Pelodiscus sinensis: one gene and its partner. The protein of the gene in region 1 interacts with the protein of each later gene in a biochemical or structural test. Links are inferred from orthologs where the notes say so. Each region holds a gene or a part of one and is shown on either strand. Other genes may lie near its edges.

Region 1 (10,585 bases):
TCTTGAATCCCCGCAGCTTCAGCCCCCTGTCCTGAAGGACCCAAGCAATACCAGGTAAACCTTCCAGTGTGATAAATAAATATAGTCCTGACAAAGATGCTTTTGAGCCATTCACTACCTGTGAGTTCAAGTTTCCTGATGATGGAAAACACTTCTGGAAGACGGTGATTTCACCTGATGGAATAACAGATTTTGAAGCTCTGATTGATATAAATTATATCCAATTCAAGGAGAATAATTTTCCTCCCTCCTTGAACAAATCAGTTTTCACATTTTCACTTGCCATGGCAAAACTTGGGGTAGGGGGGCACAGGATTTAAACACCTGTAAACAACAAAAGCTTTGTTTATCAAGTGCAAGTGCAGACATAGCTTAACACAGCCCTGTTATCTCCTGATGGATCCACATACTCATAGGTACTGCTCTACGATATTTACAACCAAGAAAAATGCATGATGGGCCATAAAATCTAGCCCCCACCACACATTAAATCTATTGTGTGCTTTTACCCTATGCTATACAGATTTCTGGAATTGTGGATCCTGATCCACAAGGGAGTTGCAAGGGTATCACAAAGTTTTTTAGGGGGTGATCACAGTATTGCCACCTGTTGGCTACGTCTACACTGCTTCTTTCTTGTGCAAAAGCCTATGCAAATGAAGCATGGATTAGCATATTGCCATGCTTCTTTTGCATAATTAATTAGGAGCTGTTTTTGTGCAAGAGGTTTTTGTGCAAAAAGGAGCCATTTACACAGGAAGAACAGCTCTTGCACAAGCAGTGTTTTTTGTGCAAAAAAGCTCTGTGTAGACAGCTCCTTTTTGCACAAAAATCTCTTGTGCAAAACCAGCTCCTAATTATGCAAATGAAGCATGACAATATGCTAATCCGTGCTTCATTTGCATAGGCTTTTGCACAAGAAGGAAGCAGTCTAGACGTAGCCTTTCTTTGCTCCCTTCAGAGCTGGGCAGCCCAAAAGTGGCAACTGTTGGCCCAAGTACCCAGCTCCGAAGGCATTGCCCCACCACCTGAAACACAGAAGTAAGGATGGCAATATCATCTTACTTCTGCACTGTTGCTGTCAGAACTAGGTGGCTGGAAAGTGGCATCTGCTGACTGATGTCCCAGCTCCTCAGGCATCAGTGAAGAAGAGGGGATGGCAATATCATACCATGCCATCCTTATTCCTGTCTTGAGAGCTAGGCTTCCAGCCAGCACCTGCCTCTCTGCAGCAACCCAGCTGTGAAGGCAGCACCGCGTTATCAGCACAAGAGTAGCAGTACAACAGTCCCGTTCCCCCCCCCCCCCCCCCGCCCCGCCATAACTTTGTGGTCCTCACTCACTACTCTTTTTTTGGGTCAGGATCACGACAATTATAACACCATGAAGTTTCAGATTTAAGTAGCCACCTGTTGGCTACGTCTACACTGCTTCCTTCTTGTGCAAAAATGATTTACATTTTTCAAAATCTCATGACCATGAAGTTGACCAGAATGGGCCATGAATTTGGCAGGATCTATATATACGCTTTTCATGACATTAATTTCATGACTAATTTTCATAAAATCACAATTCAGAAGTGATATGGACAGAACCCCCAAGTCTTCTCATATGGCAAGTAATTGCCCATTCATAATCTACACACTGCACTCTGTCTCTGATGCTCTTTAACTACATATATAGTGGGAATGATGCAAAAATGAGAAGTGCAACTGGGTTGGGCATGGAAGAGATGAGGAAGAAATAGTTGGTGAATTGCAGTTGTTGATGTACTACTATTGTGCCCTGCTCTCTGTTCCTCCTGTCAGGATGAACTGACTCCTCTGGGACCTATGAGGCTGCAGGGGGCAGTAGGTGCCCATATACTAGCTCAGAAACTACAGCTGTCCTAGAGGTGATTCTTTAGAAAAATCAAACTAATGAATTGACATGACATGTTATACAAGTATTGCGAAAACATAGAAAAGCACTTTATCAGAAGTAGATATAACACATTGTTTGGTGGTTTATTTTCATATTACATTTCTCAGTAAAAATCAGGTTTTTATACAGATTTCATATTATAGTCACCTTTATTCTCATGCACAAGTTTTTAATTGCTATTGTTTGAAGCCTTTAATCATTTATGATACTTAATATCTCCTTCTTTACTCCTATTTTAGATAATAGAGTAGGAAAATACTTCAACTGCATTCTCTTTTCTGTTATGCTGATTGCATAATCATTCCAATGGGGTTGTGTTTCCATTTCTTGTTAGTTAACATTGTATATGTGGGGCGAGTATGCCTTATCTTTATGTAAATCTACATAGCAAGGTATCTGTTATGGGTATATGGTCCTGCTGCTTGTGGTTATTTTTACTCTTGCTTCCACTACCTATCATGCTGGTACGTCTTGTTTTAATGTTTTTAGCATCACTCTCTTAGGCTACATCTACACTGTGTACCTTAGAGCAGCACAGCTGTGCAATTACAGCCATACCATTGCTTCAGAGGGGTAGCCAAGTTAGTCTGTAATAGGAGAAACTTAAAAAAATAGTATGGTAGCACTTTAAAGACTAACAAAACATATAGATGGTATCATGAGCATAGCCCACTTCTTCAGATGACCACCATACCATTGTAAGGTATGCAACACAGTCCTTTGCTGGCAGGACAGAGCTCTCCTGCTGGCAAAAGAAAACCACCTCAATGAGGGACAGTAGCTTTGGTGGTAGGAGATGCTCTCCTGCTGACAGAGTGCTGGCCATAGTGGAACTTTCTGTAATTAAGATTATTTTTTTTGTCAGTTGGCATGTGTATGTTTCACACCCCTGACTAGCAGAAGTTTTATTGACAAAAGCGCAGTGCAGCCTGAATATCTAGGATCCTAACATAGCCTTAGCTGCAGGCTGGGTGCGAGAAGTGGGTGTGACAGACAGCAACTGAAGCTCTGATTTTTTTTTTGCAGAAAGATTCTGGCTGACTTACAAATGTTTCCTGTGCATAGGTAACAGGTGGTGCCATAACCCATGCCACAGACTGATCACACTCACTCACCCTAACTAGAAGTGACAACTCTGTTTCACAAATTCAGAAACTGTTTTCCTTCTGTATTTCCATAAAAACAGAATTGTATTGGAGGAAGGAGGTAGCATCAGTCTCCCTCTAGCTTGGTGCTTAAAGTACTGGTCTGGACTGTATGGCTATGGCTATATCTAGACTACAAGCCTCTTTCGAAAGACAGCATCTGGAGTACAAGCAGATTTTTCGAAAAAGCGAGCCACTTTTTTGAATTAGAGTCTAGACGCTCTTTTGAAAAAGCAGTTTGCCGTCAATAGTGTCTTTTTTAGAAACAGTACTTTCAAAAAAAGGCATTATTCCTTGTAAAATGAGGTTTACCATGATCAAAAAAACTGCTGTGTTTTTTATTTAGTTTCAAAAGAATGCAGCTGCAGTCTAGAGGCAGGTAAAGGTTTTTTGAAAAAAGGCTACTTATTTCCAAAAAACTCTGTAGTCTAGACACACCCTATGAGACCCTCACCCCCAATTACCTGCTGTGCTTGATTTAGAGCAAGGACCTGAACCTCCCCCACATCCCAGCTATGTAACCTAATCCACCCACCTGTAGATTCTCTGCCCAGGACCCAAAAACTTTTCAAATAAAAATTTAATGCAAACAAACACATTGCTATTAAAATTTTAATCTTAGTCAAAACAGTGTATTTTGCCAAACCATTTCAACCAACATCACTTCAGTTATTCCTAATATTACATGGTTTAATACAAATTATCTGCCAACCGCATCTGATTCTTTCTTCTCTTACACCTGATGCAGCCCCAGGACCACTACATTCAGGGATTGCTTTATTCCATGCAGCCAGCCATCCTTCAAGTTTTCCTATATAAACACTTCTCTTCTCTGGAATAACTTTCCTACCTGGGAGGATGATGCCCTCATATATTTTCAGTCTCTACATGGTGTTCCCAGCAACCAAGTGCTGCAGCATCTGCATCTAAAGCAGAATTCCAGGGACACTGATGACATCATCAGTATTTTTACAGTTTTGAAGAGCCATTCTCTTCTCCATTCCAATTACCTCTTCACCTTGACCTTGTTCCTCATCTTCTCCATCACCCTCCCCCTTCCTCTTTACCTTATCTCCATTCATTAAAAAACCCTAACCACCTTCCTTACAAAATAAAACGAATGGGCATGCCATTCGGTGTTCCTGCAGTGTTCACTGGGGGTCGGCACCATATCCATTCTCCAGCGCTTAGTCCGATCTGTCAGGTTCATTCAGATTCTTGGGCCAGGCCCGGTTTGCTCTACGTGAACAGCATTTACTACAGTGGAGCTCGGCTTCTCAGCTGCTCCCTAACGCTAGGATCATACCGCCAGCCACAGAAGCTGCCTGCAGTGCTAGCTCCGCACTGGACACAGCACCTTGCCTCGTTCCCGGGGGCTAGGAAGAAATGCGGCGGGCAGGTACCCAGATCACGCTGCACCTACCCCACCGCGGGGGCCCACGCGTCCCGGATCTGCCCAAACCCCGCAGATCTACGCGCCCGAGAGAAGCCCATCAGCGGCCAGGCTCCCGCTCCCGATCGAACGCGAGTTGTGCTCCGCCAGGGGGGGTGAAGTGGGAAGCGCCGGCGCAGGCAGAAAAGGGCCCCAACCAGCCCCACGTGACTCCACAGGGAAGTAGCTCCGACGCGGTCGTAACGTGAATTTATCCTTCCGCCACCCTGTGGCCGGGTCGCCGTTGGCACGCCGGGACGGCTCTTCCACTTCCCTCATCACGACCGCCGCGTTTTCCCGGGGTGCAGGAGCGAGCCGAGGAGCGGGCGGTGCCGCGGATGGGAGGAGTGGTGGTAACAGCGGCAGCGGGACGCTGATGTGGCGGGACTATTTCGCCTTAGCGGCGGAGGAGGCGGGGGGCGGAGCCAGGCCCCTCTCCTCTCGGAAGCTGCAGCCATGATGGAAGTTTGAGGCGCTCAGTGTCGCTGGGGCGCGGAGGAGGCCGGGGCCGATGAGAGCGGGCAGCCTGCAGCCCCGCACGCACCGCAGCGCCTGAGCCCGCGCGGTCTCGCTCCTCGGTGTGAGGCGCCTCCGGACGCGCCGCCTTCTCCCGCGAGGCCGGGAGCGCCCGCCCGGCTGCGCGGCCCCATCGCGCGGGCTCCGCCGCCGCCCCGGGCGGGGAGCTGAGCTGAGCGGGACGGGGGGGCCCGAGTCGCTGTCACCATTTCTGGGGCCCGGCGCGCTGGAGAGTTCCCCTCTCCGCCTCCATCGCCTCAAAGACGGCGGCGGCGGCGGCGGCACACTCAGGGACCTGGGCCGACTCTAAACCCTTCCGCCGCCGCCGCCGCGGCTCCGGCGCCGCTCTGGGCAGCTGGGGAAGGAGGGAGCCGCCGCCGCCGCCGGGAGCCGCCGCCGCTGCAGGGGGAGGAGGGTTCGCCGCTTCCCCCATCTTCAGCCGCCGCTTGCGGGCCTGGGGCTGAGCCGCAGAGGCAGGCCCTGTCCACGGTGCCATCCAGCAGCAGCAGCCATTACCCGGCCGCCGTCCAGAGCCCAGCGGCCGCCGCTGCAGCGGGGAGTGGGAAACCAGTCACAGCCGAGCTTAGGGCCATCTGCAGCCCGCCGCTGCAGAAGCCGTCGCAGCTGCCGAGCCTGTCCTCGCTATTCCTGAGTAGCCCCCGGCTCCCAGACATGACCGCCATCATCAAAGAGATCGTCAGCAGGAACAAAAGGAGATATCAGGAGGATGGCTTCGACTTAGATCTAACCTGTATCCTCGCCCGGCCCGCGCTAGCGTTTGGCTCGCCGTTTCTCTGGGTGCCTTGATCATCTCCCCAGCGACCTGTAGTGTTAATGCTGAGCAGGGATGTGTGTCTGTTTCTCCCCCCCCCGCTCTTCTCCAGGGCTGCCATATTCCTGACTGAATTTGCTGTTCTCTCCAGTGCAGCCAGAGCCCAGTTGGGCAGGCTGAGCGCTCGGCCTAGGCCCAGCACCCGGGATAGAGATGAGATTAAAATGGAAATGAATGCTGCACGTACAGCAATTGCATCAGATTCTTACAGTAATTATGTAGTGTGCCTGCTCGTGTTTTTTGTGTATTTGTGTTCGGCATAATTATTTTGAGCACTATCAGATTTAAAAAGTCAGATGTGCGGCTAGGTTTCTGCAGTTACTGTAATTGGAAGTTGGTCAGTTTTTAGCAACCATATTGCTTTGTTTCATGAAACTAAAGCATTATGTTGTAGAAAAAGCAACATCCTAGGTCGGTTGTTGTCTGTCTTCCAGTTGATTGATGTAGATTGGGGTATGAACATTACCTGCTTGATAGTTGTTGTTTTAGATTCTATTATGTAGTTCAGAATAGAGGTTGAATAGTTATTTGGTCAGTAATTATGATGTCATGCAGATTGAGTATTATCTGTAGTAAATGGTGATTGCAAAGATTAACAGTAGTACTCGTTTGAAATCAAAGCATTCTAGTAGGACCTGTATTGACACTTTTGCTTTAGGTGTCATGTACTAGATACAGTGATGTCATTGCTCATGTTCAGCATAATGCCATTTAAAATAGAGCCTCTTACCTTGATGTTTGATTTTTAGCTCAAATATAAAATGTAATCATTCTACTGTACTGCAAATAGTGATGCCTTTTTCAATTAGTAATTCAGCATTTCGAATTGGAAACATAATTTTAGTGGGCATGTGACTTATCTGCTATTTTCTTGTTCTTTGCATAAATAGATACAAAATATGTGTTGTGCAGTGAATGAAGCATACTTTTCCAGTTTTTAACTAAAACATACGTTGTATATAAATGACAAGAATGTAAGAAAATAACTATTAATTTAAAAATTGCGTCTCTTTAAAGAACACCAGTTTCTTCACTCAACCATATTTTACACTGGTAGACTTTGTGTGCATTGACTTACCCATGGATTAGGACATTTCACAAACAAAAATAGTGGATGAGGTTCCTTTTTTTCTGCTGTCCGATATGTTTTGGGAACTCTTGAGAAATGTAGTGTTCGGGGACATGTAATCTAGCTGCATTAGGATTAGCAAGTCAAACCATGGAGCATTAAAAGGAACTGCATAGCCTTTGAACAGATGTACTATAGCAGCAACAGCAGACAGATGTCTGGCTTTGAATATGTGCTGCAAAGTTAATGGTATATAAGATTGTATTGTAACAGATTAAACTATCAGAATTAAGTTCTGTTACTTGTCACAGATACTATTAACTAAACGTAGAATTTGTTATTTATGAAGTAGTTTTAGTGCTTAAGTAATGAATATGGTATTCATTTTCAGAAGGAGGTTCTGATTTAGAATGGTTTTACAGTAGGGTTAAGATCAGCTTATTGCTCTTCTGACTGTGAGCAGAATTGCATCACAGGTACTGGATTTCTGTATGGAGAGAGAAAAGTGCCTGTAGTACAGAATATCTACTGTTACATTGATTTGGGACTCAAACTAAATATTTGAAGACTTAAATGTGTGATCCCATGAAGTGACCATTTAGCTTTTTTTTAATTACCTGCTGCTTAGTAAAATATTTCGGTTTTAGTAAATATTTTTTCTTTCATTGGGAACATATTGATCAATTAATGGGTTGCTATTTCAGAATTTCATTTTAGTTCTTTAAACTTTTTTGTTTTTCTGTGATGTGTATAGTAATACATACCTGCATTTTCAAGTTAGTATTATAAAACCTGCAAGATTGATATCTGCTCTGAAATATAGCTTACAGACTTTAGTTTATTTGCTACACTAAATGATGTACTTACTGATTTCTTCTATAATGCTGGTAAACACGGAAAACCAATAGCAAGAAACCTAATTTCATACTTCCCAGTTCTAGGGTTTGTTTGTAAAATACTTTGTCATAATGGCATACTGTAACAAAGCAGAATTTCATTTTAGCAGAATTTCATTTTAACTATTCATCTGCACATATATCTATCTATTTTTTACTTGCCAAGAAGAATCTTGTAATTTAGTTAGTGATTTTACTCATCAAGCTCAGAGTTTTGAAGAATACATTAGGTATAGTTACAAAATGTATTTTCTTTTCTGACTTAATAAATAGTTCTATGAACTCTTTCCTTTTTAGATTTACCTTGGAGGACATAACAAATTAAACTAGAAATTGGCTATTTAAGCTCATAGAAAGATTGGTTTTAGCAATAGTTCAGATTAAATGAAATAATATCAAAGTAATATGAAATATTTTCCCATAAGATTCTATATTTTCTGTAGACTATTTTGAACAATGGAAGAAGGCTCTATGTAGTAAATAAGCCCTAATTGAAAGTATTGGTGAGCATTTGGGTTTTATAACTTTTTGTGAATCCTGCACAGGGAGACCTTTGACAAAGTTGTTAATGGGTAGTTAGTTTTGTCTAATGCCTCAAAAGTTATACTGTTTTCTCCTTTACATGAATTAGGAATTAAGTTAAATCTGCAGACTAACCTTGGTTAATCTTCAGGATGTAAATGGTTAACTGGTAACCCTCACCCTTAATGGGTATGGCTTACTGATTCTGGTTAATAGGTAGGAGCTGGTGCAGCTCCCTACCCTGGGTGCCCCGCAGGGCCCACCTCAGGCCAAGGGTATTCTGGCTTGCCAGAGCAGCTGTTGTCTGTGGCAGGCCTGCCCTCCAGCTGCAGGTTACACACGGGCTCCCTGACAACAGGGCCAGCAGCCTCCTGCGGAGCTGGTTGTGGAACTGACAGCGAAACTTCCCTCTGTGGGGTCTGCTGTATAAAATTGATATATAAGCTTTAATATTGCAGAGCCCACAGCACATTTAACTGCTAGGATTTTTAGCGGTTACATGGTTACATATTTAAACGACTTTTTACATCCCTAGATGTGCTGAATTTGTGGTTAAAGACTGTTCGTAACTTTGAGAGAGACTAGATTTTAAATGTAGCACAGAATGAGGTGTATGATTATGCAATTTAAGTATCAGCATTGATACTTTCATTGATACTTTTCATTGACTTTCATTGTGTTTTTAATATAAAAAGGATGTCACGTTAGTTTTAAAAGAACTAAAGTTACATATTTTTCAAACAAACTTCTTTTTAACAAGGGTATTTAGATGGTCTTTTGGAGTTGGGGTGGAATTGTGTATGTATGGGTAATGGTCACATCTGAAGATTAATGCCACTGATGTTTTTACATTACATGATCAGAACATCATAAACTATCACTTAACAACTGTCATATGATAAAATCAGTTTTTCTGCATGAATAATTTAAAATGACTGCACCATTTTTTAAACATTACACAGATTGAACTGCTAAATGTCTTATGTCGCATGTAATTCACCATTTGTAACAGATTTTTGGTATATCCTTGGAATGGCTGTAGGAAGGAATGCCTTCAGAACTGTATCCGGTCATTTAAAAAAACGTCATATTTTCGTCTGCCTTTGGTTTCTTCTACAATATTTATTTCTACTTGTCTGAATAGTGTTAAAATACTTCATGAAAATAATGGGGCAGGTGGAAAGGGGCAAATGTAACTTTTTATGTATTACTGGTGTCCCTGTAAGAAACAGTAATGCCTTAACTGTATTTTTGAATAATTTTTCAGTGCTTGAATACCTAGTCTATTTTAAACTATGTATGTACTTTCAACCACTGCAAACAAAAAAAAAAAAAAAATGAAGTGGTAACAAGTACATTCAACCATCTCATGTAACTTGGATTTCAATGCATGGGTTTTAGATGTAGTCTGTAGAAAGTTACTTAAATCGTTTGTGGAGTTTTCAGTCAATTAAGAAGCCTAAAAAACACAAAATTGTTGGTTGATGCCTATCTTTATATACCAGTTCATAGCTTTAGACAGGCATGCCAGAGTTCTACCCTGCATTGAGATCTGCTGGCAAGGACAACTGTAATGATTCTGAAGGAAGACGAGGGCCAGGTCTACTCTAGATCTGGAAGGTTGGCTTAAGAAAGGTATGCAACTACAGCTATGTAAAATAAATCAACTCCAGTTACATATCTTAAGCTGAGGTTGGCACTGTCTTCATATAGGGAGACTGACTGGATGCTCCTGTCAGCTTTCCTTACTCCTCGTGACTGCGAGGAGTACCGGCACCAACTGGGCACCAAAGTTATTTTGGTTTAGCGGCTCTTAACTAGACCTGCTATATCGAATACGAGGAGATTGATAGCCAGCGTGGAAAGTGAAGATATGGCCTAGGACTTCATGGATAGTAGATATGTGGATAGTGATTTTTATCAGTATTGTCAATAAACTCCTATAAAAGTTGGCTTGCTTTTACATTTAAATATTATTGTGCATAATTGTTTAAATCAAAATTCTGAAGAGAAGTTTCACAATGTGTAAAAAACTAATTTTTCCCTGTTTGTACCATCAGAGCATTGTGCATTAGAATGAAATCTGATCATATAACTTTACCATAAAGGGTTGCTTTTCAGTTTTAGAAAAACAGATTTGAAATAATGATACATCTTAATTATTGAATATTTAAAAATCTAATATTCCACTGAAAATAGAATCAATATTTGAGGTTGCATTTAGTCAGTCTTTCTGAGGCACAATACAGG
Region 2 (10,812 bases), on another chromosome or scaffold:
CAAATCTGCTATGTATCAAAATACTCATAGGAAAGAAACCAGTACTTTTAATCATGATCATATGGTTTGCCAGGTCTTAACGGCATACACATCATTAAATTACTAGTACATTAGAGTTGATTAATCTTGGATTTAAATTATCCAAAGGTTCTAAAAAAAAACATATCCATACGATCTTTTCAAAGTTTTAGACACAAAATTCCATTAGATCACAAACAATGTAAAGCTAGTTTATATTAAGTCAGATTTAAACAGTCAGTACCCTTTGCACAGCCCAGAGGGAAAGACAACTTACCTGTGTGGAAATTTAAGTACAAAATCAGTCAGCTGCATGCATTTGAAGGGCATAGCCTGCCTTCTTACACCACTGCAAGGACCATCAACTAGTGCCTGGAACAAAAGTTTAAGTGAATTCACTAACATTTTTCCAATATACCATGATAGACTAGAGAAAGTTACTTCTAAACAAATTATGGCCCATCAACATGAAGAAAGTGTTACAAACTTGGGAGAGCACTATGCATATAGAACACTGGAAAGCAGAAAAAGAGTGGAGTACACTACCCAAATTCCATGGCAGGATCAACTAGTGTTTATTTAATACGCAGTTTCCACAACGCCAAAGGCCAAGGGAGACAAAAGAGAGGAGCTGAGACTGGGAAACTTTCATGATCTCAATGCATTGCTTTTCCCTCATTCACACATGTTCTATCACAGCTGTAACTAAAGGAGCAGAAAACATCTGTGCATCTTTCCCCTCCCTAATGCAAGTAGTAATAGGAACAGTTCACATATATCGAACTACAGGCTCAATCATGTGAGCAAGAAGACTGAAGAAGCAAAAAGTTAAACTTTTAAAAGTGCAGAAATTGTGGTGAGTTTGGAGATAGTGTTCCTCTTTCCCAGTTTACAAGTTACAAGTATTGGATTCTTGTAACTTGTAACTACAAGTTACAGTATTCAACTCCTTTTAGCAAGATATTAACATAAGAATACCCATACTAGGCCAGACCAATAGTCCATCTAGCTCAGTATCCTGTCTGCTAACAATGGCAGTTGCTTCAGAAGGAGACACAAGAACAGGGCAATTTATCAAATAATAAATCCAGTTTCTGACAGTCAGAAGCTAGGGATACCCAGAACATGAAGTTGCATCCCTGAATATCTTGGTTAAAAGGAATTGTCTAGAGTTCTTTTTATAACCTAATTATACTTTTGACGGCTAAATGTAGTGCCTTGCATGCAGAATCTCTATACTTTTGACCTGTATTAACCTGTGGGAATGAGTCCCACAGGCTGACTGAAGCAGGTGCTAAGTACTTTGTTTTGTTTTAAACCTGCTGTCTATTAATTTCATTAGGACAGTGTTTCCCAATTGGTGCTCCGTGGAACCCCAGGGTTCCGCAAAGTAAAAGTAAGGGTTCCGTGAGAATGCGGCATTCCTCCGCCCCCTCTTAAAGAGACAGAGTATTTTGCAGAGTTTTTTTGCTCAACCAATTCTGGCGGGGCTTTTTTTTTTTTTTTTTTTTTTTGCCAAATTTTACTCTGGGAACCCTAGGGGTTCCTTGAAATTATTTTAAGCTGAAAAGGGTTCCGTGGCCAAATAAAATCAGGAAACACTGCATTAGGAGATCCCTGGTTCTCATGTGATGTGAAGGGGTAAATAACATTTTCCTATTCCCATTCTCCATTGCAGTCATGATTTTATCAGCTTCCATCACAACTCCTTTTAGTCAACTCTTTTCCAAGCTGAATATCCCCAGTTTTAACCTCCTCAGATGGAAATTGTTCCATAACCTTAATCATTTTTGTTGACCTCCTCTTTCCTTTTCCAATTCTAATGTATCTATTTTTGATGCGCAAAAACCAGAACTGCATAATGTATTCAAGGTGTGGATGTATCATGGATTTATATAATGACATATTTACTGTCGTCTTATCTATCTTTTTCCTTATGGTTTCTAACAGTATTCACTTGACTATGACTTCACACTGAGTAGATGTTTTCAGAGAGCTATCGACAATGACTCCAATATCTCTTTTATGATATTTACAGCTAATTAGAACCCATTATTTTATATGTACAGTAAGGATGTTAAGAGACGGGTAACTAATCATGTAGTCCATACAATTTATATCAACTACACAATTAGTCGATAAGGGATGGCACTCTGTCCTGGATCGCACTGGTCCAGGAGGTCTCTCAGCTGCAACTGCAGTTTAAATATAGTAGGAGCTGGCACATAGGTACTCAGCTCCTACTACACTTACACTGCAGAGCACCAGCAGGTGTAGGCTCCAGACTGGCGTGAGCTGGAACCGCTGCAGATCTGCAATTTAAAATTTAGTAAGAGCTGGGCAGCTGGGCTTGGCTGCAACCAGGGGCTGCTGCCAGAGCAGCCTGGGCCCACTGCAAATAGGGGCTGCTTTGTAGCAGCCTCTCTTCCAACCCGTTGCTGCCTCAGATAAGCAGCAGCCGGAGGCGGCGGGGGGGGGGGGGGCCCACAGTGGAGACAGTGATGGGGTGGGGAACCTGCATATAAGCTCCTGGCCATCCCCCCCACTGCCTCAGATACAAGGGGGGTGGGGGGAAATGAATAGCCAAGTTGACTACTTGCTTACTGCCCTAATGTATAATTGGGAGCATGTTTTCTAATGTGCATTACTTTGTATTTATCAACAATGAATTTCATCTGCTATTTTGTTGCCCACTCACCATATTTTTTGTGAGACCTCTTTGTAACTCCCCGCAGTCTGCTTTGAATTTAAATATCGTTAATAATTTTACATCATCTGCAAATTTTGGCACCTCGCTCTTTACCTCTTTCTCCCAATCATTTATGGATAGGTTGAACACCACTGGTCCCACTACAGGATCTTGGAGGGGACACCGCTATTTACCCCTCTCCAGTCTGAAAACTGTCCATTTGTTCCCTACCCTTGGTTTCCTGTCTCACTGATTCATAAAAGGACCTTCCCTCTTACCCTTATTATTGATCCTGAGAGGGAAAACATAACTGTTTGAAAAATCACCTTATTTGGAATCTCTTAAGTCTCCGTACAAAGATTAATTTTTGAAGTCTGCCATGCACATTTGTATTGCATTTTCCTTAACACTGTTAGCCCCGGGAGGGGGGGGGGGGAAATGATGTACAGAAAACTGTTTTAAAATCAGTATTGTATGAAAAAGTATCTTTAAAATAGAGAACGAAAGAACAGGGGAGAAGAGGGCTACAGGTCTTTGAGCTTACCCTGTTCTGGTCAATAACATCCACTATTGCCACCAGCTTGCCAGCATGTGGCCCAAAGGAGATATAGGCAACTCGGCCAATCTCAACGTAACGTTTGAACACCTGGAAAAAGATTTACTTAAATTCAGAGCACGTCTACAAGTAGTATGACTAAACCCAGGAATTGCTATCTACAAAAGTCTCAGAGAGGTAACTGTGTTAGTCTGTAACTTTAAGAACAAGTAGTCCTGTGGCACCTTACAGAGCAACAAAAATATATAAATAGTACGAGCTTTAGTGGGCAAAACCCATTTCTCTGATCTGACGTGGGTTTTGCCCCCAAAAGCACATGATGCTATTGGGAATATTAGATATAACTGAATAGGCATGTAACCACATGAAATCTTAGCAGTTAAACAACTATTCGATAATCCCCAGAGGTGGAGCTGGCAGCCAATGCACTGATATAGAGGTTGGGAGGGAGAGCAGGAGGGAAATGCATGTAGTTGATCGTGTAGTGGTCTACAGTACAAGATGACATCCCTATATACTGTATATGTGTGTGTTTGTCTCTAAGGTGCCACAGGGCTACTCGTATCTACAAATGCATCAATTGCCTGGGACACAGAGCAAACTGCACCCCGCCTTTCCTTCCTAGCAGGGGGGTGATATACAGGTTCCCCGCAGGGATGAGCAGCGGGGATGGTTGGCATCGGGCGCGGGAGGCGGTGCACCTAGGTGGCAGACACCACGTGAGAAGTTGGGGGGGGGGTCTGGGAGGTACCACGTGAGAAGTTGGGGGGGGAGTTTAACAATATAGGCGCAGAGCTTATGACCGGGCGGGGGAGGGGGTGCCTAGGTGGCAGGTACCACGCGAGAAGCGGGGGGGAGGGAGGGCTGGGAGGTACCACGCGAGCAGCGGGGGGGGGGGAGGGGGGGACTGGGAGGTACCACGCGAGAAGCGGGGGGGGGGGGTTAACAATATGGGCGCAGCTTATGGCCGGGCGGGGGAGGGGGCTGGCCACACGCTCGGTGCCGGTCCCAGGTGGCGCGCGCTGCCCAAAGCGTTACCGCTAAGGGGCCATTTCAGCCACTTGGGGCTTGTGCGCGGCCCGGCGCCCTCACCCGCCCAGCGGCCCCGCCAGCCCGGCCACGGGAGCCGCACGTGGCCCCGCTCCGGTCGCTGGGAGGAGGCGGCTCAGCGCCTTCCCGGGCCCCGCGCCGGGCGGGCAGGGGGGATGCCGGGGCAGGTAGCGGAGGCCGCAGCCGCACACACTCACCATGATGGCCGCCCGCGAGCAGAAAAGAGCGAGCGGCTTCCGCTGCGCTCAGACGCCGCTTCCGATCCTCTAGTACGCATGCGCCCCGCTGTGGGGAGACAAAAAGGAGGCGGGGAGGGAGCGCTGCTTTACTAAATGCGCGTGCGCGCTAGGCCCTCCTGGTGGGTGTCGAAGGCGAGCGTTTCCGCTCCTCCTCCAATACGCATGCGCGCCAAACGTTCGTGGTGGGAGGGGCGAGATGTTTAACGCATGCGTGACAAGCCTGCAGGGCATGGAAGGGGGCGTGTGGGTTCCCGAGACGCATGCGCAGTCAACTGCTTTCTTTTGCGGTTGGGAGAGTCTCGCTCCCGCCCCCTACTGTAGTGCGCATGCGTGCGCCCTGTTGCGCTCGCGTGGCAGGTGTATGTCGCAAGGGGAGCAGCCGGCGCGCGGGGCTCGCAGAGGGGATGCGCTGGGGTAGCGCACCGTGCCCGCCCTGCGCCCGTCGTTCCTTGCACGGGGACAGTGCGCCTTCCTCATGCCGTCTGCTTCTGGGGGGCCTTCCCCCTTCTCAGGGCCAGAGGCGAACAGGGCTTATTGCCCTCCGCTAAACCAGCGTCTGTGTGAACTCTTGTCCGGTGCGCAAACGAGAAAAACAAATCCCAGCCAGGTCCAGAAGAAAAAGAGAGTCTGCCCAAAACCACACCCGCTTTTCTAAGCCAGTCAGTGTGCACGTTTCATTTGGTTTGGGAGGTGGAGGTGCCAACAAAAACTCCTGTGGGTCTTGGCAACATCTAAGCTAGGGCAGTCTGCGGGCACAGCTATGTCAACATAGGCTCTGGAGTGCAGACACACCCTCAGCTTTCACGTAGAAAGTGTTTGAAGTCCCCAAGTTTGCAGAAAAAAAGGCTAAAAACACCGGTGTGTGTCCTCAAGGTTCAGAAGGCAGACACATAATGACCCGAAATGGATTGTTTATTTCTCTTTACTCTCATTATTTTAAGCCAGTCTCATGATTTTTTTTAATGTGGCTCCTGATGTTGATCTGCTAGAGGTTGGCCATGGTCCCTGAACGAATTTTGCATTGATGCTATATTTAATTTCTGCTATTCCAAGGAATTAAGGAGGAGGCATCATGTGACATGAGACTACAGAATTAGTAGAAGGTTGTATACATTCTGGCTGATAAAAGTGGCATGTGGACACAATTGTTTTGTCCCTGGATATGTTTGTACAAAAAATGTATATCTCTGTTTAATGCTGATGTTTGACAGGCATAACATACCTGGATTTTCCTGGAAATGACCTCCTTTTTGGTCCTCCAGTCTCCATCCAGACAGATATTTGAACTACGAAAAACTTCCCTAAGAATCTACAACCACTTCCATGAATGTTGTGGGAAATGGTCTGCCAAGAACCACTGGCTGTGTTGGACCTCAGGATTGTAGATGAATCCCCTAGTGAACTGTTTTTCATACTGGGGAACCCACCTTAAAAGGGGGTGACAAAGTGAGTACAGGATCGCTAGTAGGATCACCATACATTTAGGTTTTCCAACTATGGCCTCTTTAGTCCTCTATTCTTTGGGCAGGTGGACTTTGGAAATATGAAAAAATGTCCATGACTCTACCTTGCCTTCAGAGTTGGGTGGCTGCAGTGGCTGCTGTTCCCAGTCGCCTAGCCTGGAAAGCACTGTCACTGGCAGTGACAGCAGCTCAGAAAGAAGAATGGCACACTACCATTGGTTTTGTGCTGCAGGGTAGCAGCAGTGATGCCATCTGAACTGGGCACTCCATCAGAGGCCATTGCTCTGCTGCCATCCAGCTCAGAAGACATCCCTACCATGAGCAGCAGTGCAGAGGGAAGAGAGGCAGTACCATATTCCAGCTTTTCTTCTGTGCTCTTGCAAGTGGTGACACTTACTGCTGACCTGCTAGCGGACACTTGCTCTGCTGCTGCACAGATCCAAAGATAGTGCCACCAGCAGCAGAGAAAGAAGAGTGGCAATACTATACCATGCCACTCTGCATGGCAATGGTGCCACAAGCAGCAACACAGAAGGAAAACTAGGTGCCCAGACAGTGGCCACTGCTTTCCAGCCACACAGTTTGAAAGGCCAGGAAAAATCAGACTTTTTTAATGTTTCCAAAATCTGCTCTGAGGAAAATTTCAGGACCAAAAAAGAGGTTATGTCTGGGAAAACCTAGACAGCTAGTGACCATACTAACAACCCCCCAACAGTAGCCTTGAAACTTCTTTTTTTGGTTGGAAGCCCCAGTTAGAGAAAAGCTGTACATGGGGATTCCCCAATGACTCTGAGGTCCAATATGGCCAAAAGTTTCTGGCAGACTGTTTCTCACAACTTCCTCTGAATAGGTCATAATTAGGGCCCTACCAGAATCACTGGCTGTGTCTAGACTGGCCAGTTTTTCCGGAAAATCAGCCGCTTTTCCGGAAAAACTTGCCAGCTGTCTACACTGGCCTCTTGAATTTCCGCAAAAGCACTGACGATCTCATGTAAGATTGTCAGTGTTCTTGCGGAAATAGTATGCTGCTCCCGTTCAGGCAAAAGTCCTTTTGCGCAAAAGGGCCAGTGTAGACAGCTCAGATTTGTTTTCCGCAAAAAAGCCCTGATCGTGAAAATGGCGATCAGGGCTTTTTTGCGGAAAAGCGTGTCTACATTGGCACGGATGCTTTTCCGCAAAAAGTGCTTTTGCGGAAAAGCGTCCGTGCCAATCTAGACGCTCTGTTCCGAAAATGCTTTTAACGGAAAACTTTTCTGTTAAAAGCATTTCCGGAAAATCATGCCAGTCTAGACGTAGCCTAACTGTAAACATGCCTGAACCTTAAGGGGCTTGGGATCTGATTGAAAATATAACCACTCTATCCTTCTTAAAAATGAAAGTTGTATCCAAACCACTCCTCTGAATCCCTTTAGAATACATGAATTCAAAGTGGGTCTCTAATGCTGAATGTTGTGATGTGGGAGATGATTTTCAGACACTAACGGCAAGCCCCTCAATTGCACAGAAAGTCAATAGGAGTTAGGTGCTTAACAACCATTTGTGCCTTTGAAACTCACTGGGCTTGGTGAGTTTTTAACCACTGGAGAGATATATCCTGAAGACCTGGGCAGTGGGCACTGAGGAATCAATCTTTTGGGGGTACTGAGCCCCAACAATTCTGACTACTGCACAAGATAAGTTCTTCATCTTGCCCGTTTCCTTCTCTTTGGAAGAATAATTTCAAACCTCTTGCTGTTTGGCTACGTCTACACTGGCCCCTTTTCCGGAAGGGGCATGTAAATTTCATGAGTCGTCGTAGGGAAATCTGCGGGGGATTTAAATATCCCCCGCGGCATTTAAATAAACATGGCCGCCGCTTTTTTCCGGCTTTTAAAAAAGCCGGAAAAGAGCATCTAGACTGGCCCCGATCCTCCGGAAAAAGCGCTCTTTTCCGGAGGCTCTTATTCCTACTTCAAAGTAGGAATAAGAGCCTCCGGAAAAGGTCGCTTTTTCCGGAGGATCGGGGCCAGTCTAGACGCTCTTTTCCGGCTTTTTTAAAAGCCGGAAAAAAGCGGCGGACATTTTTATTTAAATGCCGCGGGGGATATTTAAATCCCCCGCGGATTTCCCTACGACGACTCATGAAATTTACATGCCCCTTCCGGAAAAGGGGCCAGTGTAGACGTAGCCTTTGTGTTCTGCTAACATTAGCTACCATGACCAAGAAATAGGCATTGGTCAAGGAACTAGAGAAAATGTGTTCTTAGTTTGTCTTTTTTAAATTAGGAAACTATTCTGACCCTTTTCTTTCAATGAAAAGATGGGAAGATCATTTTTAACTGATCAGACAGATATTAATAGGATTTAATTTGAAGTGTGTAAATACAAACTTAGAATTGGAGAAAATTGAAAATATGAGCAAAGAATAAGAAAGTTACCCACAGAGCGCCTCCTGTAGCACTCCCTGAAGTACTCATCACAGCTGGGAATATGGGCAGCAAACTGCAGGGAGGATGTGGTATCCTTTGGGGAGCAAGACCCAGGAAGGCACGGGACTACCGTGATTCATGTATGCATGGGAGGAGTTGCACCTTTCTCTTCTACAGCTCCCACTCAGTACAAACATGATTTCAATTGCATGCTCTGGCTGCTCACCACCCTTGCCTCTCTCTTTCCCCCTTCCTCCATGACTCCACGTGGTGGTAGTATATGGTGAGCACAGGGAACAGAAACAGAAAGGGAGTTAATTACGCTGATTATTTTCAGGAAGAAAGGCATTGCGCAAGAGGGTTTTTCTTGCGCAAGAAGGGGCAGTGTAGACAGCTCCTTCTTGCGCAAGAGCCTCTTCTGCAAAATAGCGGCTCATTACATATGCAAATGAGGCTCGGCGATATTCCACGCTTAGCCTCATTTGCATAGCTCTGGCCCAAGATCGCGCCAATGTAGACATAGCCTCTGTGTTGAGACACTAGCACTACTGCCTCAGGGTATGTCTACACTACCCCGCTAGTTCGAACTAACGGGGTAATGTAGGCATACTGCACTTGCAAATGAAGCCCGAGATTTGAATTTCCCGGGCTTCATTTGCATAAGCGGGGCGCCACCATTTTTAAATCCCCGCTCGTTCGAACCTCGTGCTGCACGGCTACATGGGGCACGAACTGGGTAGTTCGAACTAGGCTTCCTAGTCCGAACTACCGTTACTCCTTGTGGAATGAGGAGTAACGGTAGTTTGAACTAGGAAGCCTAGTCTGAACTACCTAGCTCGTGCCACATGTAGCCGCGCGGCACAGGGTTCGAACGAGCGGGGATTTAAAAATGGCGGCGCCCCGCTTATGCAAATGAAGCCCGGGAAATTCAAATCCCGGGCTTCATTTGCAAGTGCGGTATGCCTACATTACCCCGCTAGTTCGAACTAGCGGGGTAGTGTAGACATACCCTCAGACAGTGAGCTCTATTCCAGTTGCCCCCCTTCCCCACCAGTCACACATTCCTGGTTCCTGTATTCACAAGCCTCTTCTCTTCCAGGCCTGTGCACCCCTGCAACTCCCTTGCCCCATTTCCCCAAGACTTGGTCAACCTGCTAGTCCCCAACATCTCTACCCATGCCCCTTCTCTTCCATAGAGTTTAACCTCATATGCAGGGGCAACAGGATAAGGGAAAACTTCTTGGTGTGTCAGTATTTCAGAAGAGTCCTATAGCTGAGATATTATTTGAATATGAAATCTGGACAAAGGTGTGGTTGTCTAGAACCCAAAGAAATGTGTGGACAACAGGTCAACATTTTGTTAAGGGAACCCTTTGATATGTTTCTTTTGTAAATGTTTATTAAAAAAGACTAAATTCAATTGCCCACCGAAGCACTGTTATTGTACATGTGGAGACTCCATTTAATATTAAAGTACAAAACAGGTGGATTTCAGGCTTACTTTCAGACTAAATCTTGATGCAACCTTTACTAGAGTTGCTGATAATGTCTCTGCATATAAATATAGCTATACATTTTGACATTTAGTATATCAATCATGGGTTTGGGTTTCTTAAATAAATGCGAAAAGCTGCTTAATAATTGAGTGATCCACTTTTACTTGGTGGCCTAAATCTTCTGTCACGGTCTACATGGTAATGAACAAAGTTTTTTTCCTGAGCACACCTTGCAGTTCCCTGTAAGCTGGGCACTTGTGGAGTCGCTCAGGACAGATTCAAATGCCACCCAACTAGACTTTTTGTTTCTACCAGTGGTGCGCATTTATTCCACACATGGATGGAATAAATTAGTGAGAACACTGAGTACTCAATGTATGGGATGTAACTAATGTCCTTACCAGTTTCAGGAATGAGTTTTTCATTTAGCTTCAATATGACAGATGAGTATTACCACTATTTTCCTCTGTCCTATGGTTTTGTCCTTTTGCTTGTATCTTGAAACTACTGACCAATTATGTCTCTAGGAGACTATTATGCAAAAATAACGTATTGTGCATAGTACTTATTCTTCTTCCACAACTACTTAATAACAAAACAGAGTTTACAGAGTTCACTATAAACGCCATAAGTCTATAGCACTGAGTGCTGAGACCTCTCATGAGAGAGCCAATGCATTATAATACCATTTCCTTGATTTCTGTTCTCCACTTTGGTTTCTGATCTTTTTCCTTTCTTTCAGGATACATTTATTTCTTTCTCACTTGATTTTTCTAAAATGCAGGTCTCCAAAGAACATTTCAAGTTTATGTCTTTTGTTGTCACTGAGCCCTCTGTTCATTCTGTAGCAAGTACATGGTCCATGTGATTGATATTCTTTCGCATACGCGATA

Evidence for each region.
Region 2: the proteins of PTEN (region 1) and RPL14 form a complex in vitro, tested with the Homo sapiens proteins (2 studies listed by BioGRID). The link is inferred for Pelodiscus sinensis from reciprocal best matches to the Homo sapiens genes PTEN and RPL14.

What each region holds. Positions count from the first base shown.
Region 1 is NC_134718.1:38,724,288-38,734,872, forward strand, and holds the start of PTEN (phosphatidylinositol 3,4,5-trisphosphate 3-phosphatase and dual-specificity protein phosphatase PTEN), read left to right. Parts: upstream 1-5,545; 5' UTR 5,546-5,688; coding exon 5,689-5,767; intron 5,768-10,585. UniProt on the Homo sapiens protein: Dual-specificity protein phosphatase, dephosphorylating tyrosine-, serine- and threonine-phosphorylated proteins.
Region 2 is NC_134712.1:182,142,686-182,153,497, reverse strand, and holds the start of RPL14 (large ribosomal subunit protein eL14), read right to left. Parts: upstream 4,641-10,812; 5' UTR 4,514-4,640; coding exon 4,511-4,513; intron 3,354-4,510; coding exon 3,252-3,353; intron 391-3,251; coding exon 296-390; intron 1-295. Other genes in the region: ENTPD3 (ectonucleoside triphosphate diphosphohydrolase 3), read right to left, coding at 10,757-10,812.